Mytilus edulis: one gene and its partners. The main gene of each other region encodes a partner of the protein of the gene in region 3 in a complex. Links are inferred from orthologs where the notes say so. Each region holds a gene or a part of one and is shown on either strand. Other genes may lie near its edges. The genes, in order: dynein regulatory complex protein 9-like, F-box and leucine-rich repeat protein 13-like, dynein regulatory complex subunit 4-like and dynein regulatory complex protein 10-like.

What was found.
Region 1: dynein regulatory complex subunit 4-like (region 3) and dynein regulatory complex protein 9-like share a complex: the UniProt entries of both Homo sapiens proteins name them as parts of the nexin-dynein regulatory complex. The link is inferred for Mytilus edulis from reciprocal best matches to the Homo sapiens genes DRC4 and DRC9.
Region 2: dynein regulatory complex subunit 4-like (region 3) and F-box and leucine-rich repeat protein 13-like share a complex: the UniProt entries of both Homo sapiens proteins name them as parts of the nexin-dynein regulatory complex. The link is inferred for Mytilus edulis from reciprocal best matches to the Homo sapiens genes DRC4 and FBXL13.
Region 4: dynein regulatory complex subunit 4-like (region 3) and dynein regulatory complex protein 10-like share a complex: the UniProt entries of both Homo sapiens proteins name them as parts of the nexin-dynein regulatory complex. The link is inferred for Mytilus edulis from reciprocal best matches to the Homo sapiens genes DRC4 and DRC10.

Annotation. Positions count from the first base shown.
Region 1 is NC_092346.1:87,338,828-87,345,974, forward strand, and holds the start of dynein regulatory complex protein 9-like, read right to left. Parts: upstream 3,031-7,147; 5' UTR 2,977-3,030; intron 980-2,976; 5' UTR 905-979; coding exon 889-904; intron 1-888. UniProt on the Homo sapiens protein: Component of the nexin-dynein regulatory complex (N-DRC), a key regulator of ciliary/flagellar motility which maintains the alignment and integrity of the distal axoneme and regulates microtubule sliding in motile axonemes.
Region 2 is NC_092344.1:89,673,721-89,680,578, forward strand, and holds the start of F-box and leucine-rich repeat protein 13-like, read right to left. Parts: upstream 3,025-6,858; 5' UTR 2,926-3,024; coding exon 2,848-2,925; intron 690-2,847; coding exon 586-689; intron 32-585; coding exon 1-31. UniProt on the Homo sapiens protein: Substrate-recognition component of the SCF (SKP1-CUL1-F-box protein)-type E3 ubiquitin ligase complex.
Region 3 is NC_092348.1:7,363,797-7,371,169, reverse strand, and holds the start of dynein regulatory complex subunit 4-like, read right to left. Parts: upstream 3,023-7,373; 5' UTR 2,900-3,022; coding exon 2,897-2,899; intron 1,267-2,896; coding exon 1,156-1,266; intron 787-1,155; coding exon 589-786; intron 127-588; coding exon 1-126. UniProt on the Homo sapiens protein: Component of the nexin-dynein regulatory complex (N-DRC), a key regulator of ciliary/flagellar motility which maintains the alignment and integrity of the distal axoneme and regulates microtubule sliding in motile axonemes.
Region 4 is NC_092349.1:64,492,398-64,499,540, reverse strand, and holds the start of dynein regulatory complex protein 10-like, read right to left. Parts: upstream 3,021-7,143; 5' UTR 2,892-3,020; coding exon 1,959-2,891; intron 1,126-1,958; coding exon 892-1,125; intron 1-891. Other genes in the region: two pore channel protein 1-like, read left to right, coding at 3,319-3,379, 4,887-5,257, 5,718-5,831, 6,229-6,359. UniProt on the Homo sapiens protein: Component of the nexin-dynein regulatory complex (N-DRC), a key regulator of ciliary/flagellar motility which maintains the alignment and integrity of the distal axoneme and regulates microtubule sliding in motile axonemes.

The DNA of each region.
Region 1 (7,147 bases), on a different chromosome or scaffold from region 3:
CCTGTCAGCTAGACATGTACACCTTACAATCATTCCATACACCAAATATAGTAGACCTATTGCATATAGTATAAGAAAAACCTATAAGGTGACCTATAGTTGTTAATGTCTGTGTCATTTTGGTCTTTTGTGAATAGTTGTCTCATTGGCAATCATACCACATCTTCTTTTTTATACTTGTTCACTGATCCATGAAATGAGTTCGAGGACAAGTGAAAACTGTCTGATGGGCATGAGGACCTTGCAAGGTACGCACATACCAAATATAGTTATCCAATTACTTATAATAAGAGAGAATTTAACATTACAAAAAATCTTAACTTTTTTTTCAAGTAGTCACTGAACCATGAAAATGAGGTCAAGGACATTGGACATGTGAATGACGGAAAGTTCGTAACATGAGGCATCTATATACAAAGTATGAAGCATCCAGGTCTTCTACCTTTTAAAATATAAAGCTTTTAAGAAGTTAAGTAACGCCGCCGCCACATCACTATCACTATGTCGAGCTTTCTGCAACAAAAGTTGCAGGCTCGACAAAAATTGATTTGAAAATTTGTTTTTAAGTAGCAACATGTCATGGTATGCTTATACATTTACGTAATATTACGTAAGATTTACTTACAGTTACTATGGTTACTAAAATACAATTTAAAAATAACTGAAAAGGAAACCTTTAATAATGGTGAAAATGAACGCAGGGTGCAAAGTTGTGGGATTCAAAAACGAATGGAGGCAAATGTGACATTGGGAGAATGGACCAAGATTCATGACAAGTTAGTCTTGAGGTTTACCTGTATACCTATATATAGTTTACAACAAATATAGCATGGGGCTTCAGAATGAGATACGTAAATGAATAGTGATACACAATTTAAAAGTTATTACTTTGTGTTAATGACATCTTTGGCTTTGTCTTTTTTCTTCACTCTACAAGTATGTGGACAGCAAAACTAAGTGTCTCTTTCTCAACAATTCCTAAAAATAAATATTACAATCAAATCAATTGAATTATTCAAATAAGTTTTATATGAAATATATATAACATAAACTTTGAATTGATATTTACTTCAACTCACACTGTACACTGATTTAAAAAAGTAGGAACAAATTATTAAGTCCCTGTGGGTAATAATGAACAAAATCAGTTGGAATGAATTGATTAAATCTTAGACAAATAGGTTTAGAACGAATTCAACTTGAAATGAATTGTTTAGCAGTCAACAATACAACATAAGCTCAGAGCAAGCTTATTACAGACATACATAAAGTGATAATCAATTAAAGTACATATACAGTGCATTCAGACACAATAGGACAACACAAAACACACAATAGTTTTAAACATACACAATTGTCAAATAAAAGAATTAGTTTAGCATAAAATCATATAGAGTTAAGTTAAGGCTAATGCAAGCACTAAAATAGCAAAAACTATTAGCACTCAAAATCAGCAAAACTCTAGCATCAGAATAAATCTTTGACGGGTGAATTGCTTCCCTTGGTAAATGTGGTTAGATACTTAGTCAGCTGTAAGCGATTGAGCTAAGGAAGTTCAAGCTCATTAAGTTAGTGTGCTGCCTTATAAAAAGTAAAATCACAAAAATACTGAACTCAGAGGAAAATCTAATCGGAAAGTCCATAATCACATGGCAAAATCAAATGACAAAACACATCAAAAACGAATGGACAAGAACTGTCATATTCCTGACTCAGAGGGCTCATATCCCAGGTATGAAACTAAGCAATTTTGTAATAAAATTGTTTAATTCATGCCCTCCGGTTACAAATCAAAAATTACAATTAAATTTTTTGTCAAAATATATTAAGTTCAGTTGCCACCTACATGTATAAGTTATATATCTAAAGTACATGTGAGTTGTTTACCATCTGGAGTGAAATTGTACACGCGAGACTTTAACGTTTACAAGGGAAACAATCCAGTGTCAACAGCGACATTGACAACAGAACACAGGCACTTGTAGTCGGTAGACAAAATAATAACGATTGACATACTTTGGTAGGATTGCTACGGATGATTCTGACAACAAAAGTAGGTGTGATATAATGTACACCATTGTGTAGATAAATCAATTTAGATTTACGAAATTACAAGTTTTAGTGGGGTTAACAACTGTGAAATAGGTATATGACGGAATTTCGTGACATTCTGACATGTTTAAAAAATGCGAGTTAAATACCTTGTGTTATATAAGGGTATATAGCATTTTTTTTTCTGAGACAAGTGTCTGTGCAACAGAATACAGAAAATTACAAACAAAAGAAAATAAGTTATTATAATTTTTCAAATCTGCTGTTGTTCTATACATGTATGAATAAAAGTGTGGTCAATATTAATTTCACAGACAACACAGGAACTTTATCTTCAATCTTTGTCGTGATGACAGAGTAATCTCTCTTGTAAATTATCCTCTCTTGTAAAATAATTATCACAAATGTAGTTTCTCCTTTGTACTTATATATTGTAGGTGGCGCTTTAAAAATATTATAGAATTATTGTATGAAGTGAAATAAATCTAAAAAATGGTTTATTAGGTTATTGAAATGGCATGAAAAATTAAAAATATAAAAAATTTAAAGAAATTTGTATCAAATTATCCACTAAAACGGTTTGTTTCCTCTATGTACTCCGCTAATAGTTGATTGATATTTTCTGCATTTGGCAAATTGATTGTTAATAAATTGTCTAGATCTGTTGGAATTTGTCCTGTTATGAAGTATATTTGATGAAATAATTTGTCTCTGGCATCTGGAACTTTAACAATAATAACATGCTTAAAATACTTTATCATTGCCATATGATCATATTGCCTTAACCACTCTGCACAGCACGATATCGTGTAAAACTACTTGTAATAATGACATTTTAGTGATTCATATATATCTTGAGATATTTGCCATGCAATTTGTGAATTTTTGCTTCCCTTATCTCATTAATAATGCCATAAAATACCTTTTTTTTTACTGAAACTGGCATAACATTATGTTTACATGTTGCTAGGTGGCATGCGCCGAAACCGGAAGTTAAGAAAAAAATCAACTTCCGTTTCCTTTTTCAATTTTCAGCAGGTCTGCATGATGAAAATATATGTTTATGATGACAAAATAATGCTTTCCTTAAATAATAATTTATATTTATTAAAGCAAACTTAAATTTTATTTTATACATAAGTCATTGTTCATACTAGAATAAACGGATGGGGCTTCAAACGACTGATATACGCAGATTTAAGGTCTTAACAAGGATTATTTACTATAGATCTTCACGATATTTTTCTTTAAATCAATGACAACTTGACTGATATTCCCCATAATGTAAAAAGGAAGATCTTCGTAGAGAACAAACTATTATTCCTCTTTTTGCGACAGTTTGCATTGTCGCATATTCCAAGATTCATTTAAAAAAAAGATAAATATGTGCTAAAAATGTTGATGATAGTACCAACAACGTGTATATATATATATCGCACCTGTTACACTTGATTAGTATAATTTGGTATGGACAATCGCTTAAGAATAGTATTGAAATCAATGTTCAGAGCACCCTGTTTTTTGTGGTGTTGTTTCTAAGTCGTTTTCTATGTTCTTAATGTTGTTTCTTGTTAAGTATTATTTGTTTATTTCTTTTTTAGCCATGAGTTTTTCAGTTTGTTCTCAATAAGTTTGAATATCCCTCTGGTATCTTTTGCCACTCTTCACTTGTATAATAATATTTAGTTTTACCATGGAAGTATTATATTGACAGGAACTAGGTACGGAAAGTGATTTTTTTTAAATCAACCGATCTTAGAAAACTTTACCTCATTTAAAAGGCATTGTGAAGACATTTTCAAAACAGTTTCACTTTTATCTATACACATAATAACAACGAAGAAATTGCAACTTTTCAAAACGAAAATTTTTTACTATTCTGGAAAAACTGTTTCCTCTCTTTAAAAAATAATAAAATATATTTTTTTAATCATTTGGGTTATAGTTTTGTTTATATTGCTTCTTTTACATCTTGTTAGTCAATTTCAATCCTCCATATTCAGGTTTTTGGTCAAAATAGAAGCATAAAGCATGAAAATGTCGACCACTCTCATGAAATTGTATCGTCCAAAGTCACATAACATGACGATACCTTTACATATTCCTTTTTTCAGAGCATCAGGTATATTGAAAATGTAAAGTAAAACTTTATAAACATTTGAATGTAAAGAAACAAAATATAAATATGAATATTACTCTTTATATACAAATGTATGTTAGTGTGTGTGACTATAAAAAAAGATGTGGTATGATTGCCATCTGAGACATGACTCTCCACAAGAGACCAAATGACACAGAAATTAACAACTATAGGTCACCGTACAGCCTTCAACAATGAGCAAAGCCCATACCGCATATCAGCTATAAATGGCCCCGAAATGACAAATGTAAAACAATTCAAATGAGAAAACTAACAGCCTAACTTATGTAAAAAAAATAAATGAAAAACAAATATTTAACACATAAACAAACAACAACTACTGAATTACAGGCTCCTGACTTTGAACAGGCACATACATACAGAATGTGGCGGTGTTAATAAAATTGAGAATGGAAATGGGGAATGTATCAAAGAGACAACAACCCGGCCACTGAAAAAACAACAGCAGAAGGTCACCAACAGGTCTTCAATGCAACGAGAAAATCCCACACCCGGAGGCGTCCTTCAGCTGGCCCCTAAACAAATATACACCAGTTCAGTGATAATGAACGCCATACTAATATCCAAATTGTACACAAGAAACTAAAATTAAAATAATACAAGACTAACAAAGACCAGAGGTTCCTTACTTGGGACAGACGCAAAAATGTGGCGGGGTTAAACATGTTTATGAGATCTCAACCCTCCCCCTATACCTCTAGCCAATGTAGAAAAGTAAACGCATAACAATACGTACATTTAAAATTCAATTCAAGAGAAGTCCGAGTCTGATGTCAGAAGACATGTTAGCGGACGCCCAATCCTCCCCCTGACCTGTGACAGTACAACATAAGAATGAACTATAAAAATCAGTTGTACCATGAGAGACAAGAAAAGTTTTGTATAGTCATGATACATGTGATAGTTTTAGAATGTTCCCTTTTCATTAACATTCTATTTAATTAATATATCTTAATCTTATATGGCATGTATAGTGAATGCTTATAAATAAAAATAAACAACAACCTTCTAACAATTATTCTACATGACTAAAATAAAAACATTATTTTTATTTTGAGAAATTTCAAAGAAAATAATTATGTCAGATTATGTACTGTAAATACCTGTATGTATAAAAGTAAAGTAAATTCATCATGTTCATATCTGTATATCAGTTACAATACTTATACAGTGAAATCTGTAAACCAATTTTATTCAGGACTGAAGTTCGAAATGCATTAAATGTGAATAGCATTCGAATTGAACTGCCGCTACTGCATGGATTCCTATGTATGTTTTTAGTTGAACATGTTGAAAATACATACAGTCATGTATATTGATTGTTGTTAAACCACATTATTCAGTATCCTTACTACCTCGTGTGCAATGGCAAGTGGTTAAACTATCGTTAAATGGCAATAAACTGGCTGTATAATGCAAAAAAAAAAACTATCACCGCTGAATTCCAATCAAAACTTAACCAAAAATTGTCCATGCAAGGGAAATAACTCTGTATACACAAAAAGGAGGGTAATTTATAAAAAATAATTTTGATATGAACACAGCTATCTAGATTTATTTTTTGGACCTTATTATTTAATTAATATATTAAACTTAATAAAAAAGTACATTTTATGGCTGTATAAAGTTCCCTTGTATTTTTTTGAAACAAATGTAACTTTCAAACCCTTGTTTGTACCTCAAATATTTCATCATATTCCCGAAAATTATAATATACAGAATCATGAATATTCATATAATATCTATCAAAAGCAATCAGAACCTTCTGAGACTTAACAAGTTAATAAAAGACCGTAATTGGAGGTCACCCAAAGATTTTATTTTTACACACATCTGGGTACAATTATTTAGGGTAATTTGGAGTTATCTCCCATTGGTTTGCCATACCTACAGGAACTACTACGACCCGACTTCAAACGGTTCATCTGCGATGCCGCGTACCATTTAATGACATGTTAATTAACTTGAAACATGGCACTATATTAATACACCAGTGTGTGGCACATTGCGATAAAGTCATGTGTCGGTCGTTTCCGGGGTACGGAAATACAAGAAGAAAGCGGATGTTGTCATAAATCCTAAGGAAACAGTTTATACACACGTGTGTAGATGAATAGAACGAGACATACAATCATTAATTCCAAACAAACACTTTGACAATGGATGAATTTGAGACAGATAATATACCCGATGATTTTTGTCCTCACATTTTGAAAGTGAGATATATTGTTCGTGTAAATCGGATGATTCGTCACATCTTATCGAATGTAAAAGCAAAGAGTGCAAAATAAAATTTTAGCACATACAATGTGTTGGATTGCAAATTGGCATCGATGGACCATGTTAAATAAGGCTTTACGTATATAACTATATATGAAATATCCTGACTGCCAAATATACATCACTGAATTCAGTTTCAGTTTACGTTTTTGGTATAGACATTAAACCTTGTTTTTTTTAAGTGCATATATAAAGTATTAGATTTACAGTAGAAGTTGATAACTTTAAGATTTGTCCTTGTGAGAAAACAATACTCGGGTCATAAGACTTTTTTTAAATCTTGGCTAGTATATATATTGGCATAGTCATACATGTTCAAATGATAAAATACTGACCATGGCTTTATATGATCGGAAAGGTCTTTCAATTGCGGGTAGACATGAAGTTTTTATATTCACAATTAAAAAGATATTAACCAACATTATATAGATAGCTACACAACGAAGTGAGATCTCTGTTTTCTTCTGCTGTATTTTGTTGATGTTGGTACTTGTTCGATTAATTTTCGTATTTTAAACTGGAAATTTATACTTTCCAGGATTATCCAGTACCTTAACTATATAGATTACTCGAAACTTCACAGTATTTATTTTTATCAAATATATTTATTTTTAACCGGCGGTAACCGGAACACACCTTAATTACGATTTAAAC
Region 2 (6,858 bases), on a different chromosome or scaffold from region 3:
AGGTCTCATGCCTTCATCAACAAACATATCCCTGAAAATATACATATCAATAAAATCTTATTACCTTAAAGTTTATTATTTCCCACCTTAGTTTCATTATTATACAAAAACATCATATTTTTTTTTAAGGACTAATGGTTTCATGTATTAATTTACAATTCAAGTATACAAACTTTTTCTATAATTGAAAGTCTTAATTACTTTTATCCTTTTATACAATTACAGTCTGACACCTCCAAAACAACAAACTTGTATATTAATTTATTTTACCAGTAAATCAAATTGAAAAGATGACTCATCTGCATTCCACTTATCGTAACATGTATACATGTAAAAGTAAATAAACTTTTTCTACAAATAAAGTTTTATATCTATTTGACAATCCTAACCTAATACCTTGAAAACTTGTACATGTATGGAAAGACAGTACAGCTGTTATGCATTGCAACACACAATACATAAATTTTTGTCAAGATCAGTTAGGATTAATAACAGGAGACTTTAATATGCAAAGATAACTTGATTGACAGGCAAAATCAAAATCTGTTGTAAATTGTCCATTATTGTACATATGTATATACATACCAATTAAGTTCTTCCAGACCACCTTCAGTCAGAAACTTGAGTTTGTCCAGTAAAAACTGTAAGGGATCTTCAGGACACATAATTGCAAGTCCAGTGAGTAGTGCCTATAAAAAGAGTTGATAAATGGTAAAAAAAGAATCATGATTTAATATCAACATTGAACAAGAAAGCACTTCAACAACAAATTTAAAAAAAGCCTTCTAGAGGTACAATATATTTGTAATTTTGTTTTTATATAATATAATATGTCATGCTATAAATTCATTTAATAGACAACTTTCGAGTTTGATGCATTCCCTCAGAAACTTTGGTTTTAGTGAACAGCATTTCTTGCGTTTAGGGGTGTCGTCACTTCCATCTAATGTTGAGCGAGTGGTTGGAAAATTATATAGACAATAACTGTTTAGTGTCTTTAAATATCAGCAGTTTTTGTAGGAGGCTAGGAAACAAGGTGTATGCATGCTTTTAGCGAGCTATTACACCTGTTTCGAGCCGAGTACAAATACAGCTGATATCTAAAGACACTCAACAGCTATTGTAGTTTATCCTGCAATTAATTCTGTATATAATTTGTGTTTTGAAAGACACAAAAACACATGTTTTGCATTTATTTTCTATTTGAAATCCCTTTCAGCCCGTGTAGTAATAAGATACAGTAGTCACACATTCAGCTGAAGACGGTTTCGCAAAAAAAGAATCTTGAATGGTCAACAGTAATACATCGCTCAAGGTGAATAATTATAACATAACAACTTATTTCAACAGTAAAAACAAATAACAAAACATTGTCCAATTTGAAACAGGAGTGTATGAGTTGTCCTATGCTTCAGATTCGACATTAGCTAAACATGCATACTGAAATTGACATGGTTATTTTTGTTACACAATCATACACATTCAAGTTTTGAAATCGATAGTTGTCATCTTAGAAAAGACATCATGTGTGTATGTTATCAGAAAACTGGTGCCATTTTTATTGCTCTAAAGAAATGTGTGAAAACAAACAGAATGTATAAAAGTAATCGTTAATTCGCAATTGATACGTCATTGGAATGCGACTGCAATACACATTCTGAGGTCATGCAGGTTCATACAATACTCAGTCGGCAGTGGGTGGAGCTTTAAAGTGATATTTGTATACATGTAGTATACAGATACAGCATAGCGATATCTGTAGGGCTGTATCTGTATAGTAGAACACCCAATTGCAGGATAAAAAGCTATATTGCACGAATTATTCGGCAAATTGAATTCTCAGAATTGTCTTTCAGCACTGCTGCCATTAGGGAATTGCGATTAAGTACCTGAAGAACAAACATTATTTTTAGTTTATCCTGCATGCACACTGATGATCACTAAGACGCTTGATGAATGTTTATGAAGTAGGGATACAGGCGATCCCCTCTTTCTGGTAAATGATGTCATAAAGGCACACATAATTGACGAGGTTTTTTCCGGTGACGCTGGTCTATTGTCTTTAAAAGTTATCAATGAACTGAAACAATCTAAGATAATTCTGCCATCAACACCAAAAGGGTGTGCAGCAAATAGAATTCATATATGATTGGCTGTTAAAAACGAAGAAAGGATGGAGTGTGATGCATAATTGGAGATACAAAAGGAGTCAACAGTTTACATTTACTGATTTAGCTGGTCTAGTCAGTGGAGAATACTGGAGATCTTCTTTGGCTCATTGAGAGCACGTACTGCCTGCAGATCCAAATATTGCAGTTTCTAATCTCGCTGGTACATCCATGTATATTTATGGTAGTGAAATTAAGTATCTCAGGCTTTCTTTTTTCTATGTTTCTCATATGCACAGTAAACCTATTTAATAATGGGTCCTGCTATGCTGTTTGACATCCCAAACATCATAAAATCAGTAGAAACACCAACAAATAAATAAAACTACAAAATAGGTCTCAAATTGTAGAAGCACATATAGGAAGTACAGCACCATTTCAAGAACTTGCAAGCCCTGTATCTCTATTCTGCATCTAAAAAACTATATAAATTACTGTACGAAATTTTCTATAAGTATAAATAACATCAGTCGTCTCAGTCGTCACTGTACATTTTGTACCATGTGAGGAACAATGCTATAAGTACAAGTTGTGTCAGATTTGACATTATGGTCAGGACCAGGACATTTTGCTTATATTAAAGATACTTGTCACCTGTCATTTTTTTAAACAATACAAATAAAAGACAAAATGATCTTATGAAGTTATAGCCAAATTTATTGCATCTTTAAATGCATACCTCATAAACATCTGGTAACTTATTTGACCGCAGATAAGTCTTTAATTCAGGGTTAGAGGATTTCATAGATGCAGCCATTTTCGGAACTTTATATAACAAGCAGCGTGAACTGAAAATAAATCAAATTATCGTATTTTTGGAATCCATGTTGTTTGTGTAGCAACGAAATATCCCGGATAATGATTATAATATTCAAGTCAATAGCGTAGCGCACCTTGCAATTTCCGGAAGGAATTGTGGAATAATCTTCTATGTATATGTATTTCCTTCTTATTATGGAACATATTATAGACAATATCCTTTTAGGAGGGGGAACTTATTCAAACTTGGACACACTAAAAGTTTTCCATAAATAACTAAAATTATTATTTTTCAAAATCAGAGTTTCAGGAATTTCAAAATTGAATCAGTGAGATTAAAACAAAAATGTTTTCACTTAACCTGTGATCATCCCACATTATTGGTGGGGATCGTGCTGCACAATCTTTAGTTTTCTGTGTTGTGTCTTGTATACTATTATTTGTCAGGTTTTTTTTGTTTTTTTTTGTTTTTTTTGTGTTTTTTTTTTTTTGCCGCATGGGCATTGGCGTTGTCAATATCATAAAAAAAAGAAGATGTGGTATGATTGCCAATGAGACAACTCCACACAAGAGACCAAATGACACTGACATAGAAATTAACAACTATAGGTTACCGTACGGCCTTCAACAATGAGCAAATTCCATACTGCAAACAATTTAAACGAGGAAACTAACGGCCTAATTTATGTAAAAAAAATAAACGAAAAACAAAAATGTAACACATCAACAAACAACCACTGAATTAAAGGCTTCTGACTTGGGACAGACACTTGCATTATGAATGTGGCGGGGTTGAAGATGTTAGCGGGATCACAACCCTCTCCTAACCAAACCCGACAGTGGTCACGTAAGAGGGGGGGGGCAAGGGGGGTCCCAAAAACAGCAAAACAGCAAATTGATTTGGCTCATAACAGATAACAAGGAATTAAAATGGACAAAAACAGATAACAGTAAATGAAATATTAAAATAATTCGGTCTTTGACAAATCAGTATTTCTTATTACGGATATAATCCTTTGTAATGCATTCCATTTTTTATGACTATGTTTTAGTATTAATTTATGTATCTAGAATATGTTTAAATTACTACTCAATATATTATAATATTTTGTATACTCTCGTTTACGGAACGTATTATGGTATACTGTTGTCCGTCTGTTGTCAACATGTCGGACATTAACTCAAAAACTCTATAACCATTTGCATTAAACTTTGGGAAATTGTTTATATCTATTGACGCTCCCTTTTTTTTTTTCTTTTTTTTTCTATAAATTTTAGATTTTAAGTTTCTGGGTAATGGGTTTTTATTCAATAAAATTGGTGTTTTTTTTTCAGTTTTCTGATAATATCTCAAAAATGCTTTCACAAAGCAAGGAATTTTGGTGAATTTATCGTTTATATCTATTAACATGAGGTCACTTTCAATTTTTATAAATTTTAGATTTTACGTTTCCGAGTTAACGGGTTTTATTAATTAAAAAGGGGTGATTTTCCAGTTTTCAGACATTAACACAAAAACGTTTTCAGCAGTTCTCATGAAACATTGGTGTATTGTTTATATATATATATTGACTGAGGCTCCCTTTGTTGCTAATCAAAAAAGTGACCTAAAAGAGTTTGAATATTCTGACTTTTTCTAAATGACCATTTAATGAGGTGTGTGAATTTTCCTTAATAAAACTATGAGGCAAAGTGGTATATAGGGTAGAAAAATCAAAAGCACCAATTATAAGCATGCAATTTATCAAGTACTTTGAACGAATTTTGACACTCTAAAAGCAATTTATTCCACTATTTTCAAAGGCCTTATTTGAACAATTTTTTATCAGCTGAGGTTTTTGATTGTACCAAATGTACTAGTAAGTAGAATACATAGTTTAATAGGGAAACAATAACTTGAAACGAAATAACTCTTTGTTTGTAATGAGTTATGTGCAGCTTCGGACCCAAGTACATGGTTGGAACTTTCATTGTACAATGCATTTGGTTCTGCTTTGAAAAGAATTACAGAGCTGTGTCTATGTACCATATTATATAAAAGGTTAAGTGGTTGTTAGGACCTAGTCCTTAATTGAGATCCTTGTCAGATATTCCTAGCCATATGTTTTCCTTTTTGTCATATTAAGAATTGTTTTAATTTAATATGTTCGTACGGAAAACAAGGAACATTATTCTCATACAAAAAATTAAGATAATTCTAAATACACATTCATAAAAAAAAAATGGAATTTATTACAAAGGATAATCATAAGATATACTTGAATTGTCCTGGACCTCACTTCTGAGATGGGTATATGTTAATGGAATCCTTCTCTGAATACAGGACAAACATATTAGTAGTGTTAGACCCCAATGGCCAATGATCTTCAATTTATACCGAATATTGACTGTCAAAAAAAATGCTAACATTCCAATTTTCAATAACAGTTAACAGCAAATACATTATCACAATAACAGATAACAAAAAAACTAAAAGCCCAATAACAGCTAACAAAGAATAAGACAATAACAGCTAACAGCAAATACATTTTCAAAATAACAGATAACAAAGAATTAAATTGCCCCATAACAGCATAACAGTTAAACCCCTTGCCCCCCCTCACGTAAGAGTACAAGAAGTTTTATTATAAATATTTTTCCATCGATCTTTGAATCCAACGTTGGCTTAGATTTTTTTTTATCATATTGAACATATATATATATATATACATACATATCTGTATACTTTTCCCGGAATTTTAATTGTTCACATATTATTTGATTTTATTAGTAAATGCATTAATAAGATAAATGCAAAGATGGCATAATACTTGTGATAGAGACTTAGTCAGCCGTGAGCGGTTGAGCTAAGAAAGTACTTCTTTAGCTTAGTCGTTATGCCGCGCTGCTTTGTAACACAGAGGTCCCGGGTTCGAGTCCCGAGCGCGATGGGAACTAAGCACTTATAGTACTAGTAACAAAAAGAACTTAATGAACTATTTATATTATGTCATGAAATCTTAAAGATTTTTGCACTGAAATATTGGACCATAGTTATTGATTTATTCCTGTATGTAAAGCTTTAAACAAAAATTAAACAAGACAAAAGTTTCGTTATAATTACAATGACTTGGTAAGCAGATTAAAATTTTGTTTAGCATTTTTTTTCCAAATCTTTTTTTGTATTTCTAGTCTATTTGTATTACATTATTAACGTTTTTAACGTTAGCATAAATATTTTCTAGCAAATATATAGACAGGAAAAACTAAAAAAGATTTGAAAAAAACATTGACAAACAAAATTCTAATCTGCTAACCAAGTCTCTGTGAGTGAGAGGGTGAATGGCAATCTTAGTTATAGCTTAAGCACATACGTTTGTGAACTGGTGTACATGAAATATCTTATAAAGTCGTGTTATGTCCATTATACATACTGTAACTAAACTTTAAGAGACATGAAGGAACAATTGCAACAAATCTCATTGCAAATTTCATTCTTCCAATTAACATTTTAAGGAGATATAAGATGTGGTATGAGTGCCAATGGGACAAATCTTAATCCAAGTTTCAAACCTGAAATACTTACCAAAAATATGTTAGTGTTCTAGATGTTTGAAAACATTCATTGAAATAAGAAAATGACTAATACCACATTACTTTAATCTTATCAGATGTGCTTTACTAGTCATGGAATGCACTACAGAAGGACAAGTGTGTTAGATAACTGATATTAGTATGGTCAAAGTGGAATGACGTATTTATTAGAGACAATCATTTCCATAAACCATGCTGAGAAAATTCATTTTTTGTCAAGGTGACGACAAAACAGAGGAAAACTAAGGTTAGTATAGTAGTTTAAACTTTTATCTTCATGAATATATCTACGATAAAGAAAATGGTAATGCTACCAACGATATAACCCTTTTTTTTTTTATCTTTATTTGAGTTCAAT
Region 3 (7,373 bases):
CAAGTTCTTCTCACTTTTAGATTGATCATTTTGTGCCAATTTCAGGGCAGATACATTTTGTGACTTTATTGTTGTTATATTCTTCTGATGTTCATACAGTAAATGCTTCACTTTTTGTTTGTAAACCTGAAAATATAAAATGGTAAATCATTAAATATTTTTATTTAGATATGATTTTCACTGATAAAATCATACTCATCAAATCTCATTCTGTCATAATTAAATATAATACAAATCTACATGTTCATATAACAGATTCTACTTTATTTTCATGTTTGAATACAAAATATTTGAAGAAGATAATTATTGATAGTTTAAATTTAGAAATTCCTGTTTGCATTTATTTTACAAACGAAGAGACATTCTTTTATAAAGATATTCAGAAAATATTGTAAACACATTATGTCAGTAATAGTTATAATGAAAGCAATCTTGTCAAAATTTTTACAAAATATCTGACTTTGAATGTTTCATTTCAATTTATTTCTACAACATGACAAAGTAGCTTTTGGAAATTATGAAAGAAGCATACATGGAAATGTAAAGATAGTTAAAAGAATATGATTGAAAAACAATTCTTAAATTTACTTTTATTTCGGTCTGATGTCTTTCTTCTGAGTCCTCCATTTCTCTGTCTTTATTTCTAAGTTCTGCTTTCTTCTCTTCTAACTGTCTTTTTGTGATTTCCCAGAATGTGTTGACCTTGTCTCTTTCCAATTGGAAGTAGTTTCTCTCTTCTCTTTCACGTTCCAATTCCTCACGTAATCTTTGTATGTGTTCTTCCAACTGTAATTAAAACATTTAACTTTTTGTAATGATACTAGTCAAACATTTTGATCTTTTTAATGAAACAAAAAATTTTGCAATATTAACATGATGTAAACAATTTGCATTTTATAAACTTGTGCAACATAATTTGCAATCAAAAAAATCTTCAAGAATTTAGAGATAAACAAAATATAAATTATTCCAACTACAAGGTAAAAATATTGCAAGTATATTTGTTTGTGTTTTCGTTGTCTTTTATCATCTTTTGGATAGGTCCATATTGCTCAGTCTTTGTTTTTTTGCTGTGATATTTCATTTGTGTTTGTGAGTTTGAATATCCCTGGTATCTTCTGACACTTTATTTTAAGCAGAAGTCTACATGTATACCTGTTCTTTAGACATTTCTTCTGTTGAGATTCCATCTATAACTGTTGGTGATTTGGCCTTTCCAGATTTCTTCCCTTTCTTTCCCTTCTTTCCACTCTTCTTTTTAGGAGGCTGCAAAAATGAAAATTCATTTAAAAAAAGATATATCAGGTACATAAAGACTAAGTGTCAATTTTGATGATTTGTTGCTCTATATTTCTTGACCTGAAAGACCAAGAGATGCTAATAGATGGGTCAGGATGATTAATTGATTTTAAATAGCCAGTAATGTTAACAATTTCTTCTGTAGCTCAGTCTATATCTTAACTTAGATATGTACGATGGCTTGTATTGAAGTGGAGACATTTTTCACATACATAGTTAAATTTTCTGGGTTCAAAGTGAGTTGCATTCTTCTATAAATTAGCACACCTTGAAAATCTTTTTGTGATGTGGATCCTCTGGGTAAAAAATCTTTTAAATAAGTTCTTTGAAAATTTTATACATTACTTACATTGAATCTGGGTCCGTCCGCCCTGATTCACGTTCGCCCTAGTACCTGTTCGCCCAGATACCTGTTTGCCCAGGGTCCGTTTGCCCTACGTACATGTACCTTTTTTTTTAATTGTTGTCCAGTTGCATAATGTTAATTATTTGAACAGAATATGTTAAAGTTTGTTGAAAATTTACCGAATATTTGTATTGCAGCAACCAATATATATTATTTTCCCTTTGATTTGCATAGTATACTGGAATACAATGTATTAATTTAGTAATTAGTTAGTATAGAAAGTTCCTGGTTTATCATAACAAAATGTTTGTTTTTATTATTAATCCATCAAAAGACAAGTATCACAACAATCAGTGAGAATTATTATGTCATTGAACAATTATCAATCCTAAAAAAGCCATAAACTTTTAAATGATTCCTTACGTTTCCCTAAATTTCAAAAATATGTACCACATAATTATCTAAATAAGTTTAACCAACTTCGAATTCAATGACCTGAATATCATTTTAGTAGGACGAACAGACTCTACGGGCAAACGGACCTAGGGCGAACATGTTATTAAGGCAAATGGACCCGATACCATACATGTATACATTCAATAACTCCACAGTTTTTACACACTTATCATATGGTCCTCTACTTTCCAAATCAACACAAATGGTAAAGCTGGAAGAAGGTGTTTCCTATGCAAATTTCAATAGTAAGCATGATCAGTAGTAATAAGTCCGTGGGTTTACTCTATTTTTGAAAGTTTTAGGCCTCGGAAATTAAAGTGTCAGACACCAAAACCAATGTTTCAATCAGTTAATTATTTTCTTACACTAAACAGATAGTAGTTCCATCTGAAGAAAAAGCGGTCAATCAGTTTGAAAGAGAAATAAGTCAACAGGTTGTCTTTTTATTTACATACTATAGTATAGGTAGACAGGTTGAACAGTCACTGAGTCAGCAGATAAAGATAAATCTATTTGCAATGAATCCTCTTTACAGATTATTTGATAAATGATCAGGTCAATAACATACTACCATATAAACTATACACAATAATGTAATAAAAGTTTAAAAAAGAGGAAAATAACCAATTTATCAAAATATTGGTTTAGAATATCATGTGTATTTCAAATACAAAAACTGCATAACATGTTTAAATTTCATGTTGTTTTGTCGTTTTTGTGTAGTAGAATTAAAAAAAAACGGGTAAGACAGGAAGAGGGATTGAATATCTCACTAAGAGTCATCCATAAACCTACCATTGTTCAGTATGTTCCTGGATTCTTTGTTTTCAAAATGTTAAATGTATGTTCCCCCTTTCTGATGTACTTGTTGTCCAGGTGACGGTCCCCGGATGTAAATAAACACATAATCTCGTACAAGACAACGAGATAATTAGCTGTGTACGTTTTATTTGATTTTTGGACCAATCGAAATGTCAAAGACAGTGAAAAATAGTTTTATCATCATAAATTTATTCGAGAGAAAAATATATTAAAAATTACGTAAATTTTAGAATACTGGTTTTCTAAAGTAAATAGGTAACTGTTAAAAAGAAAACGCTAAAACACGTATCTAATTTCTGGCGACGGCACCCGTTTATCGTTAGACGCAAAATAACGTATATCTTTTCAGGTTATGTGTCTCTGTTATTGTTAATTTTTCAATATATTTGTGTGTTTATAACTTAAAAGCGTCTGTACCAATTCAGGTCCGTATCAACCCTGAGACTACTATACTCAGATCAACCCAAACATGCTCGAGAGACTTTGAAAAATTTCAAAAATTATACGGCATACATAGACCTTGATTTCTTGGGGATCTTGAACTTGTTGAGAAGTTGAACTTAGTAATTATGACGGAAGAAGAAACTTGCTGTGATATACAGTCAGTGGACAAAAGTGAGTTTCCACTAAAAAAATTTGTCCTATTATTTCAACTAAAATCATTATTTTTCAAATAAATATTACCCGGACACCCCTTTCGTGAAAAATTTGGTTGATTATATAGCGAATCACCTTAGTTCAGTCAGCCCCCCCCCCCTTATAAAAGTTTTGGTAATTCCACTGTTACTGATTTATAGCAAATAAACTAAACAAATAAATACAAAATCCTTGGTGTGTAATCTAGATTTATTTTTATTTTCCGTATTTAAGCCGTCCGTGATTGCTAAAGAGTAATACTATGGCGTGTGGTACTTATGTATATACGTTGATTTGCTCAAACCTTCACTCATTTACATAACACCCTTTTTAGCTCACCTGGCCTAAAAGGCCAAGTGAGCTTTTCTCATCACTTGGCGTCCGGCGTCCGTCGTCGTCCGTCGTCCGTCGTCGTCATCGTCGTTAACTTTTACAAAAATCTTCTTCTCTGAAACTACTGGGCCAAATTAAACCAAACTTGGCCACAATCATCATTGGGGTAACTAGTTTAAAAAATGTGTCCGGTGACCGGCCAACCATCCAAGATTGCCACCATGGCTAAAAATAGAACATAGGGGTAAAATACAGTTTTTGGCTTATAACTCAAAAACCAAAGCATTTAGAGCAAATCTGACATGGGGTAGAATTGTTAAACAGGTGAAGATCTATCTGCCCTGAAATTTTCAGATGAATCGGATAACCCGTTGTTGGGTTGCTGCCCCTGAATTAGTAATTTTAAGGAAATTTTGCTGTTTTTTGGTTATTATCTTGAATATTTTTATAGATGGAGATAAACAGTAAACAGCAATAATGTTCAGCAAAGTAAGATTTACAAATAAGTCAACATGACTGAAATGGTCAGTTGACCCCTTTCGGAGTTATTGCCCTTTATAGTCAATTTTTAACCATTTTTCGTAAATCTTAGTAATATTTTACAAAAATCTTCTCCTCTAAAACTACAGGGCCAAATTAATCCAAACTTGGCCACAATCATCTTTTGGGTTAGTTTGGAAAATATGTCCGGTGACCCGGCCATCAAACCAAGATGGCCGTCATGGCTAAAAATAGAACATGGGGTAAAATGCAGTTTTTGGCTTATAACTCAAAACCCAAAGCATTTAGAGCAAATCTGACATGGGGGTAAAATTGTTTATCAGGTCAACATTTATCTGCTCGGAAATTTTTAGATGAATCGGACATCCCGTTATTGGGTTGCTGACCCTGAATTGTTAGTTTTAAGGAAATTTTGCTGTTTTTGGTCATTATCTTGAATATTATTATTGATAGAGATAAACTGTAAACAACAATAATGTTCAGCAAAGTAAGATTTACAAATAAGTCAACATGACCGAAATGGTCAATTGACCCCTTAGGAGTTATTGTTCTTCATAGTCAATTTTTAACAATTTTCATAAAATTTGTAAATTTTTACTAACATTTTCCACTGAAACTAATGGGCCAAGTTCATTATAGATAGAGATGATTTTAAGCAGCAAGAATGTTCAGTAAAGTAAGATGTACAAACACATCACCATCACCAAAACACAATTTTGTCATGCATCTATCTATCTGCTTCCTTTAATATTCACAGAGACCAAGGTGAGCGACACAGGCTCTTTAGAGCCTCTAGTTAAATAATCTTTTCATTATAAATTCTGATGTAAGAACGGCACCTTTAACTAGCCAATTGAATTTAAATTGAAAACTAATTTAAACTATTAATTTAAAATTTTTACTTGTTATTATATTCAGATCTTACACAACTTTTAATGATTATTTTATTTTATGGTTTAAAATTGTAATGACTATCTTATGAATTAATAAAAGTTTTGCCTTTTCTCATTTATCTGTTCATAAGTTTATATGCCCTCTTGTGTTTTAATGTGTAAAAAGTTGCTACAGTTTATACCATATGAGTAGTGCTCCATAATTAATATAGAGGAACATACAAGAAACTGAACAGTTAGTTTAAACAGTATTTATTAATAAAAAATGTCAAGATAAATATTACAATGTTACATAAAGTTCAAATATGGGATTCGGAAACAAGTTTGGAAAAACTTTTATAAATCCGTCTCCCTAAAAAAAAACACCATCTATTTAACAAACAATATTACGTGCCAACAGTATATTCAGTTTATGGTAGCATATAATAAAATGAATAAATACCAACACACACACGCAAAAAAATACAACAAATAAAATAAGTGAAAAAAAAAAAATGTGGAAAAAAAGGGAAAAAAAACACGAAAACAGTCAACTCTTATTTACTTTTCCAGACAGTCACTGGAACCAACACACACGTCCGACTATAGACTCACTATACTGTCAATTACGCCGGGCAATCCACTCGATTTTACATCATATTAAAAAAAAGTCTATATATATAATATATATATATATACATATACTAGATTAACTTTCAAAACGTTTTGTTTTATTTGTGTATTCAGAAACTTTATGAAACATTTGCACATTGTCCTCGTCAGCTTTTAGACTGTCCCCATATAAGATAATCTTAAGATTAGAACAGGAGATCGTCCCGATAGTATCCCTTCGAATTTCATTATATTTTGGACATTTGAAGAAATAATGAGAGGTAGTTTCTACTCGACCACAGGTACACAGTGCGTTCTCAATTAGATTTTTTTTAATAGATGGTCCCTTAGAACACTACTCTGGAGTCTTAGTCTTGCTTAACATGTCTGTTCTCTTCTACAGCCTAAGTGAAAGTTCAATGGTATTTTATTATTATTTTGAGAGAGATAAGTCTTAAAACCCGATTTTGATTGATTTAGACGAATGTCGTGTGGAATATTATTCCAAAGGTTTACTACGGCTGGTAGAAATGACTTTTGATAATAGCTTGTTCTGCATAATACAGTTTGTAAATTTGAAGACCCCTAGTCCTGTGGTCGTGTAGATCTAGTCTCTGATTTGGAACTAACACAGAAAGATAATCTCCGTGAAACATTTGATGAAATTTTAATAACTTATGTTTATCACGTCGAGACTGGAGTTTCCCAACCGGTTTCATCGTACACAGCAACCGTCTCGATGATATCTTAGTACCACCTGTATCGATTCTTGCTGCTTCTAGTTGTAAGTTTTCCAGAGATGTTTTTAATTAATTTAGTATGTTATCCCAGACAATGTCCCCATATTCTAAGACTGGGCGTATGAAAGATCAATAAATAGTTTCTAAATTTTTCCTTTTAAATTTAAACTTTAACTTTCGGAATAATGCTAATCTAGGAATAGCCTTATTAATAATCATTTTTACATGGTTATTCCAGCTTCCATCTTCATTTATAATAACCTCTAAATGCTTGTGCAACTCAACTTCTTTTATTATATTATTATTCATATACACTGGCGGGTGGTGGGGTTAATGGTGCCTTTTTGAAATGGTCATTATTTCTGTTTTGTTTGGGTTGAAATAGACAAGCCATTGTTTAGACCAAGTATGTATTTTCTCAATATCTTTATTTAGCATTTCTGCCGCTTCATATTCGATATCAACCACTATATAAATTGAGGTGTCATCAGCAAAAAGTTTTATATCAGATTCGATGTCATTAATTATGTCATTAACATAAATGAGAAATAAAATAGGACCCAAGATAGACCCTTGGGGTACCCCAGCTGAGACATGTTCGTTGTTGGACGTTTCTCCACCAATGACAACCTGTTGCCTTCTTGAGTTTAAATAGCTTTCAAACCAAAGTAACAAGTTACCATTAATTCCTATTTTTCTAAGCTTATAAAGTAAGCCTTTATGCCAAACTCGGTCGAAAGCTCGACTAGAGAAGAT
Region 4 (7,143 bases), on a different chromosome or scaffold from region 3:
TTGTTTACATCCACTATCTTTGTTTTCGAACGGATTGTAATTGTCTCATAATTATACATTTTAAGTACATGTACACAGTAATCATATACCCAATCTTAATATTTTTAAATCAGAATTCAACATCATGTGAAATCTGAATATATGTAAATTTTTCAATGATAAATTCAGCTAAATTCAATGTATGCATAATCATGCTAATGTCATCTTTGAATTTGGTACCAAAAAATTGAATAAATAGCAGTTTGAAATGATAAATGTCATTGTATTGGTTATTTTTATAGGCCAGTTATTATATTATTAATACTACAATAGAATTATTTTGACTTTGTTCAACAAGATTTATATATATCTTGTAACATAATATGGCATTTTTCCTTTGAAGTTTTTACGTGATATTCTGCTTAATAGTTCGGTTTCTGAAAAACCATGGTTATTATAGAAAGATTGATATGTTATTCCATTAAAAAAAGTCATGACATACTTTGTGCTTGCAACTTCATGTAGATAGGTGGAGTTTAGACTATGGTTTAATCTGATATTTTTCATGTTAAACCATGATTTAAACCCTGCCTCTTTGTTACGACTCTGTTCTGAATGAACCGGCTGATTTTCGAAAAAATTGACTGGATTGATTTTCACGTGCACACGTTAAGCAGGGGGCTGGAACAACATTCCCACTGGGTTTTTATTGGATAAAAAATCACCAGGCCACTTTTGAATGATGTTACAAAACATATACACCACGCCTTACTCATTAACATATTTACATGTATAGAACTCATCCTGCGGATTCGTCGTTTAAATATGCTAACTCGTAAATAGCATTGTATATATTATACTAATGCTACATGTATGTATTTGAGATATTTACAGCATCAAAATGTATCTTACCCTTCTTAGATCTTGTTCCTTTTCTCTATGCTCCAATACAAGGTTTTGAAGCTGGGTTTTAAGTTGTACTATTTCATTCTGCAGCCTTTGTACTTTGCCTTCATGGTTCTTTTTATCAGCTGATTCTTGTTTGTCCTGTTCATTCTTAATCCTTCCTATATTTTCTTTGGAAAAGTTTATAATCTGTTGTAACTCTGTCTGTAGCTTTTTTATTACATCATTTTTCTTCTTCATCTATAAAAGAAAGAAAGAATCTTTATACACACATGTTTAAAAGAAATAATCTAGCTGGTATCTATGACATGTATGATATGAAATAATGTGTCATATCATTATACAATTTATATTATTATAATGTGTTTAAATTCATACATACATGTATACATTTTGAACTTAAATAAAATAATGTGATGTGCAATAAATAGAACTTCTTGCCAACCCCTATTACTATAACACAAACTGGTCAGACTATAAACATCACTAGGCGCTGTTAATTATGTGTATTGTCATCATATCTTCTATAATTTTCTGTATAACTATTACTGTTGACAATAACTCTTTTACAGACTACAATAATTTGTTTCTGCTGTTTGTGCTACATGTACATGATGATTGTGAGTATATATTGCTAATTTATTCACACAATTTTGTGGTGGCAACATATACATGTATCTGTAGTTGAAAGTCATTAAAATTTTAAAATGTTTCTCTTTTACAATAAAGGTTCTCTTTGCAAAAGTTAGACATCATTGTAAACCAAGTGAGGCAAATTATAGTATTCTTTTTAAATTTTATGAGACATGTTTGATTATATATAGTTTTACATGTTTTTGAGTTTAAAATATTGATTCAAGAATCTTAAAAAAAATTCAACTTCTGTAACTTTATAACTAAAAATGGAGAACATTTTATCATTGAGAATGCCAGTATGATTTGAAATACAATAATTCAGTGCTCTTAATAAATGCATATCATCCACAATGTATCAATAAACATGATGCATGTAGACTGACATGTTGGAGTCAAAAAATTTGCCAAGTATTTTTAAATCCATCTAAATATTATACCTCTTCTTCCTTATCAGCAACTGCAGCATCAAGTTCTTCTTCCATCTTTGCAATGATAGTAGCATTGTTTCTCTCTCTTTCTGAAACTTCCTGGATGTAAGCCATTCTCTCTTTTTCTTCCTCAGGTGTTGTTAACAGTTTATTCAGTAAGATATCTCTCAAATCATTCATGTAAGATAAAAGCTGGGTACTCTCTTTAGGTCGTGCATGAAAGTGGGTCTTAACAGAATTAAATGCACTACCATTTATTTGAAATTGTCTGAGAATGTTTTTGCATGAGGAACTAAGTTGCTGAGCTACCAGACTCAAATTCCGCATTGTACGTTCTGTTTGGCTGTCAAAACTAGCAACAGAAGGATTAGATCTTCGACTGCTAGCACTACTACCTCTAGATGGAGGCTTATTAACAGGACTCTGTGGGGGACTTTGGCCTCCATAAACGGAATCTTCATCTTCGTCATCTTCAGCAGTAGGTTGAGTTTCATTCATATCATTTTGTTGCTCTTGTGATGCATCACTTCTGACAGAACTGGCTGATCGTATTCTATTCCTTTGCATTTGCCTATCAAGCTGTTCTTTGATCTCATTGTAACTACCGATTATAATACTGTGGTTCTCTAGCAAGCTGCAAAGTTCTACCCCAAAGCTTATTCGAAATCTGTCCAAATTTTCAAGAATGTATGGGATCATTGAGGAAATTTCTATTCTTTGTATTGTGTCCTCAAATACTGACATAACACGCTGTGCTTCAACTGTGGCTATTTTTTTTCTTGCAGGTTCTAATGCCCTCGCTGGATCTAAACGGAGTCTGTTTCTTATTTTCCCTGGTCCTCCTTTTTGAGGGGGTACGGGAACTGTTAGTTTCATGTTTAAAATTGGCTCTGTGGCAATTGAACCTGTTAATGTCTGTGTTCGCATTGCTGTGGTGGCCATTTTCGCACAATATAACGGCGATAACAACGTTTACAATAGGCTTATATGTATATAATTCCTAATTTACATCGTCAACATTACCAATTCACTGTTTATCGGTCTTGCAGCCGCATTACATTGAATTTGTTTAATACGCATTCCCTAGCAACAAATAGTACTTCTACAATTTCTGTGTCTCTCTTTTTTGAATAGCATAAATCTACAAAATAGTTCGATGAAATGAAAAATACAGTTTTAAAAAAAAGAAAAAAAAAGAAGATATTAGTCTCCTAAGGGAATAAAGCAAAAAATGTTGCTCATGATTTTATTAAGTTGTCATGGAACTACTTTTAAGCGGAAATAACCTTTGTTCGGAATATTTTTAGAATACACATGATACATTCGCAATCCTCTATACTTATCCTTGATTATCAAAAATGAAAACAATATGGCGGGTAATATTGAAAGTCCCCTATTAATCAGAAATGAAAATGGATTTTCACCCTCAGGTATTTATTATTAATGTGCATCTCTTTTTGAAACACTTAAGATTGACTATTTATACTGGCTAGTGACATTGCATTTTAATTGCTACATTGAAAAAATAGTGTTGCGGAAAGTCAGTGAGATAATAGTTTATTTTTGAGTAGATAACAAGGGTTAAATTAGTCCAAATGAACCAGTGATAAATAAAACCTGACAAGTTTGAAAATACACAGTCACTTCCATGATCCAAAGAAAGAGACGCACAGCCTGTCAACTGTCACAATATACCACACTAGTCACTAATGCTTAAGCATGAAAGCAAATTTACAAAATTTTGAGAAAATTGATTTGGCAGGTAAGATTCAATTATTGCAGGGTGTGTTTTTATTGGGTAGTTTGATGCCCTGATGTCAGTGTCGTTTCCTAAGACACATTAATTTGGTTTCCAGACAATAACTTTAGTTTAAGTGAATAGATCTGTATGAAATGTATTCAGAAGGTTCAAATCCACAAAAAGGAAGGTTAGGATTTATACACCTTATCGCTATTCCCGGCTGACCCGTCCGCTTGAACTTTTGACGTCAACAACAATCACTTTTCCATTGTGGCGTCAGACATTTTGTTTTATGAAGTCAAAATTTTACGGGAACCTGTGTGATTTCCAGCAATAGCGATAAGGTGTATTATGGGGATGATGGTCCCAACCGTTTTAATAGATAAAAGGGGCCCAAAACAAGCATTTTTCTAGTTTCAAAATAATTTCTAGTGTATTAAATATTTTGATTGCTCTGAAATTGTACCACAATGTTTAATACCACAAGTAGAAGGCTGGAATTTATTTTGCACGGTTTTGGTGCCAACAGTTTATAAACCTAAGGGCCAAAAACAAGTATTTTTGTAGTTAAATCCAGGCAATAACTTGTGTTTAAGTGAATGGATCTCTTTGAAATTGTACTACAAGGTTCCATACTACAAAGGAAAGGCTAGGATTGAGTTTGGGGGTAATTGCACCATTGTGAATTCGAAAAGATAGAGGGGGGGGGGTTCTCTATTTTTTTTACATGTAGTTCAAATTTTTTTCAAAATTTTTCAAATTTTAAATTTTTTGAAAAGTTTCAACAAGAAATCTTCAATTGCACAGGGTTGCACAATAAATTTGTAAGATCCTTGTCAGACCAATTCTATTTCTGTGTCAGAAACGTAATTATGTAAAAAAAAAAAAAAATGATCAAAATTCAAATTCAGACATTCTCAAGCTTGAATTTTGTGTCTAAATTTGCTAACTGTTCAGGAATCGACATCTGGGGTCGTTTCAGGTTTATATATAGAAACCTTTGATCAATTTTAATGAAATAAAACTATACATATCAATAAGATGTAAAAAGCTCTTCGTTGTTCAGTAATAAAAAGTATGATGCCCGAGGAACAACAGAAAAAAGGAACGGGCGTCAATAAAAAAGGGCGGAAGCTGCCCTCTTCAAAGGTTGTAGCTAGAACACTGTTTATTTTGGTTTTTAATGTCTATTTCAGATGAAGACCAATATGATGTTCCATCAAACAGAATACACAGTAATGGTGACTCTATTTATGATGTAAACAATGGTTTTGGATCTAACCATCAGATTTTGGAGGGCCAGGGCACTCCATACCATGCCATCACTAGACGACATAAACAGTATAAAACTTGGGAACTGAATTACCAAGAGGCAGCTATATATCTGCAGGAAGGGGAAAACAATGATAAATATAGTACACATCCCAGAGACTTTAATGCATTGCCAGCATATAAAATTGCTCACAAGAAAATTTTCTATGCTTTAGACTTATTTGCAGCACTGCTGGTAATGGGATTAGCTGCCTGTGAACGACCAGCAGTGCCATTTTTAACTCTCCCTGTAGGGGTAAGTTACCATATAATTGTTAATTGTCAATGTCTTTTTAATTATTGACTGGTAAATTCAACAAGCATTTTCCGAAAGCTCAAGTCTTTTGATTATAAAAATTTCCAGCAAATTTAAACTGAGTCTTTTATGAAGGGAAGGAAAATACAGTATCATTTTCATTGTATGTTTTTCATTGCCTTTGTAAGATGTGCTAGTCTTATTCTTTAAAAAAATATTGTAAGTGGTCAGATATCAACTTTTAACCATAAATAATTCAAATCATGACAGAATCATGAAAATCAGACTGAATAAGCAGAAAGCAAGCATAAACATACATGTATATATAAAGCCATTTATTAGTTTTCTCAATTTAATTTATGAAATACCTTTGTCCAACAATAACATAGATTATGGCTCCTGGAAAATGTACAGTTAAGTCAGGTATAAAATGTGTTCTTGTATTAGATGTATTTTACAGGTTCATGGATCACTGGAATTGTTTGGGCTTTTGATATTAGCGTTAGAATTAGGAATACGCATGAAGTGGCTAGGATTCAGAACATTCATCAAACATAAAAGAACTCTTATAAAGGTATGTAGATTAATTAATGATTTTTTTTTGTATCAATAGAAATACTTATTTATAGACAAATGATTATTTTTATGCCCCAGTTTTTCTGTGTGTGCGTCTGTTCGTTTGTTACTCCTTTCGTTTGTTTGTCCTGCTTCAGGTTAAAGTTTTTGGTCAAGATATACGTAGTTTTTAAAGAAGTTGAAGTCCAATCAACTTGAAACTAAGTATACCTGTACCCTATGATATGATCTTTCTAATTTTAATGCAAAATTAAAGTAAGATTGATGCAAAATTTCAAGGTCCACTGAACATAGAAAAGGATAATGCGAGTGGGGCATCTGTGTAATATGGACACATTCTTGTTTTAATGATAGTGCAAATTTAACTGAAAGTTAGTAATAAAATTATTTTTCAGAGTTGTACTTTGATCATCGTATTTATAGAGACTATAGTTGTGATAATACGACAGCATAACCATTTTAGAGTCACAAGATCACTGAGGCCATTGTTTCTCATAGATACATACTACTGCAGAGGGGTCAGAAGGTATGTTTGTTAATATTAAATTTTACCATATTGTTGAAGCGATTATTTGTAATCATGCTGATAGAGGGGTCATTGAATATACAGCAGTATAATATTGTGTGCTATGGAATTTTGGGGAGAACAATACTCTATTATGGTCAAGGTACCCATATTTCATGGTTCACTGGTTTGACACATTGTGTAAATTTAAGTTTTACATCAATCAGAGTTCAGGTTTTAGACACAAACTGACTTCTCACTACATTGAAGACCTGTTGGTGACCCTCTGCTGTTGTTTTTTATTTGGTCGGGTTGTTGTCTCTTTGACACATTCCCCATTTCCATTCTCAATTTTATTACAATCATATAACTTGTTTTTAAGAATGCATTTATATTTCACTGTTTCACAGATTCAAACATAATTATGGAAATGGATTAAAATAGAGTTTTCTTTTCCTTCTAGATCTTCCTAAAGAACAGTTATTTTAAAGAGTTCACATCAATCTTAAGTGTTTATAATTTCCCTCTTAAACAAACACTTGAGAATTTAAATTACTTTAGTTTCTCTGAGTGACAGGAAGCAACCAGTTAAAATAAATATTGATTAAATTTTATCCTTATTTTCAAAATTCCAATTAAATTTTAACTGAACTAAAATTATGTACTAGCTAAGTGTTTTATAAATAAAGTTCAAGGATTTTCGTTTCAATCTAGAGCTTTTATTATTTAATATTTTAAAATATTCCAACAGAATTTACAGTTTGTGTCTAATATTATTAGCTCACATGGCCCAAATGGGCTATTT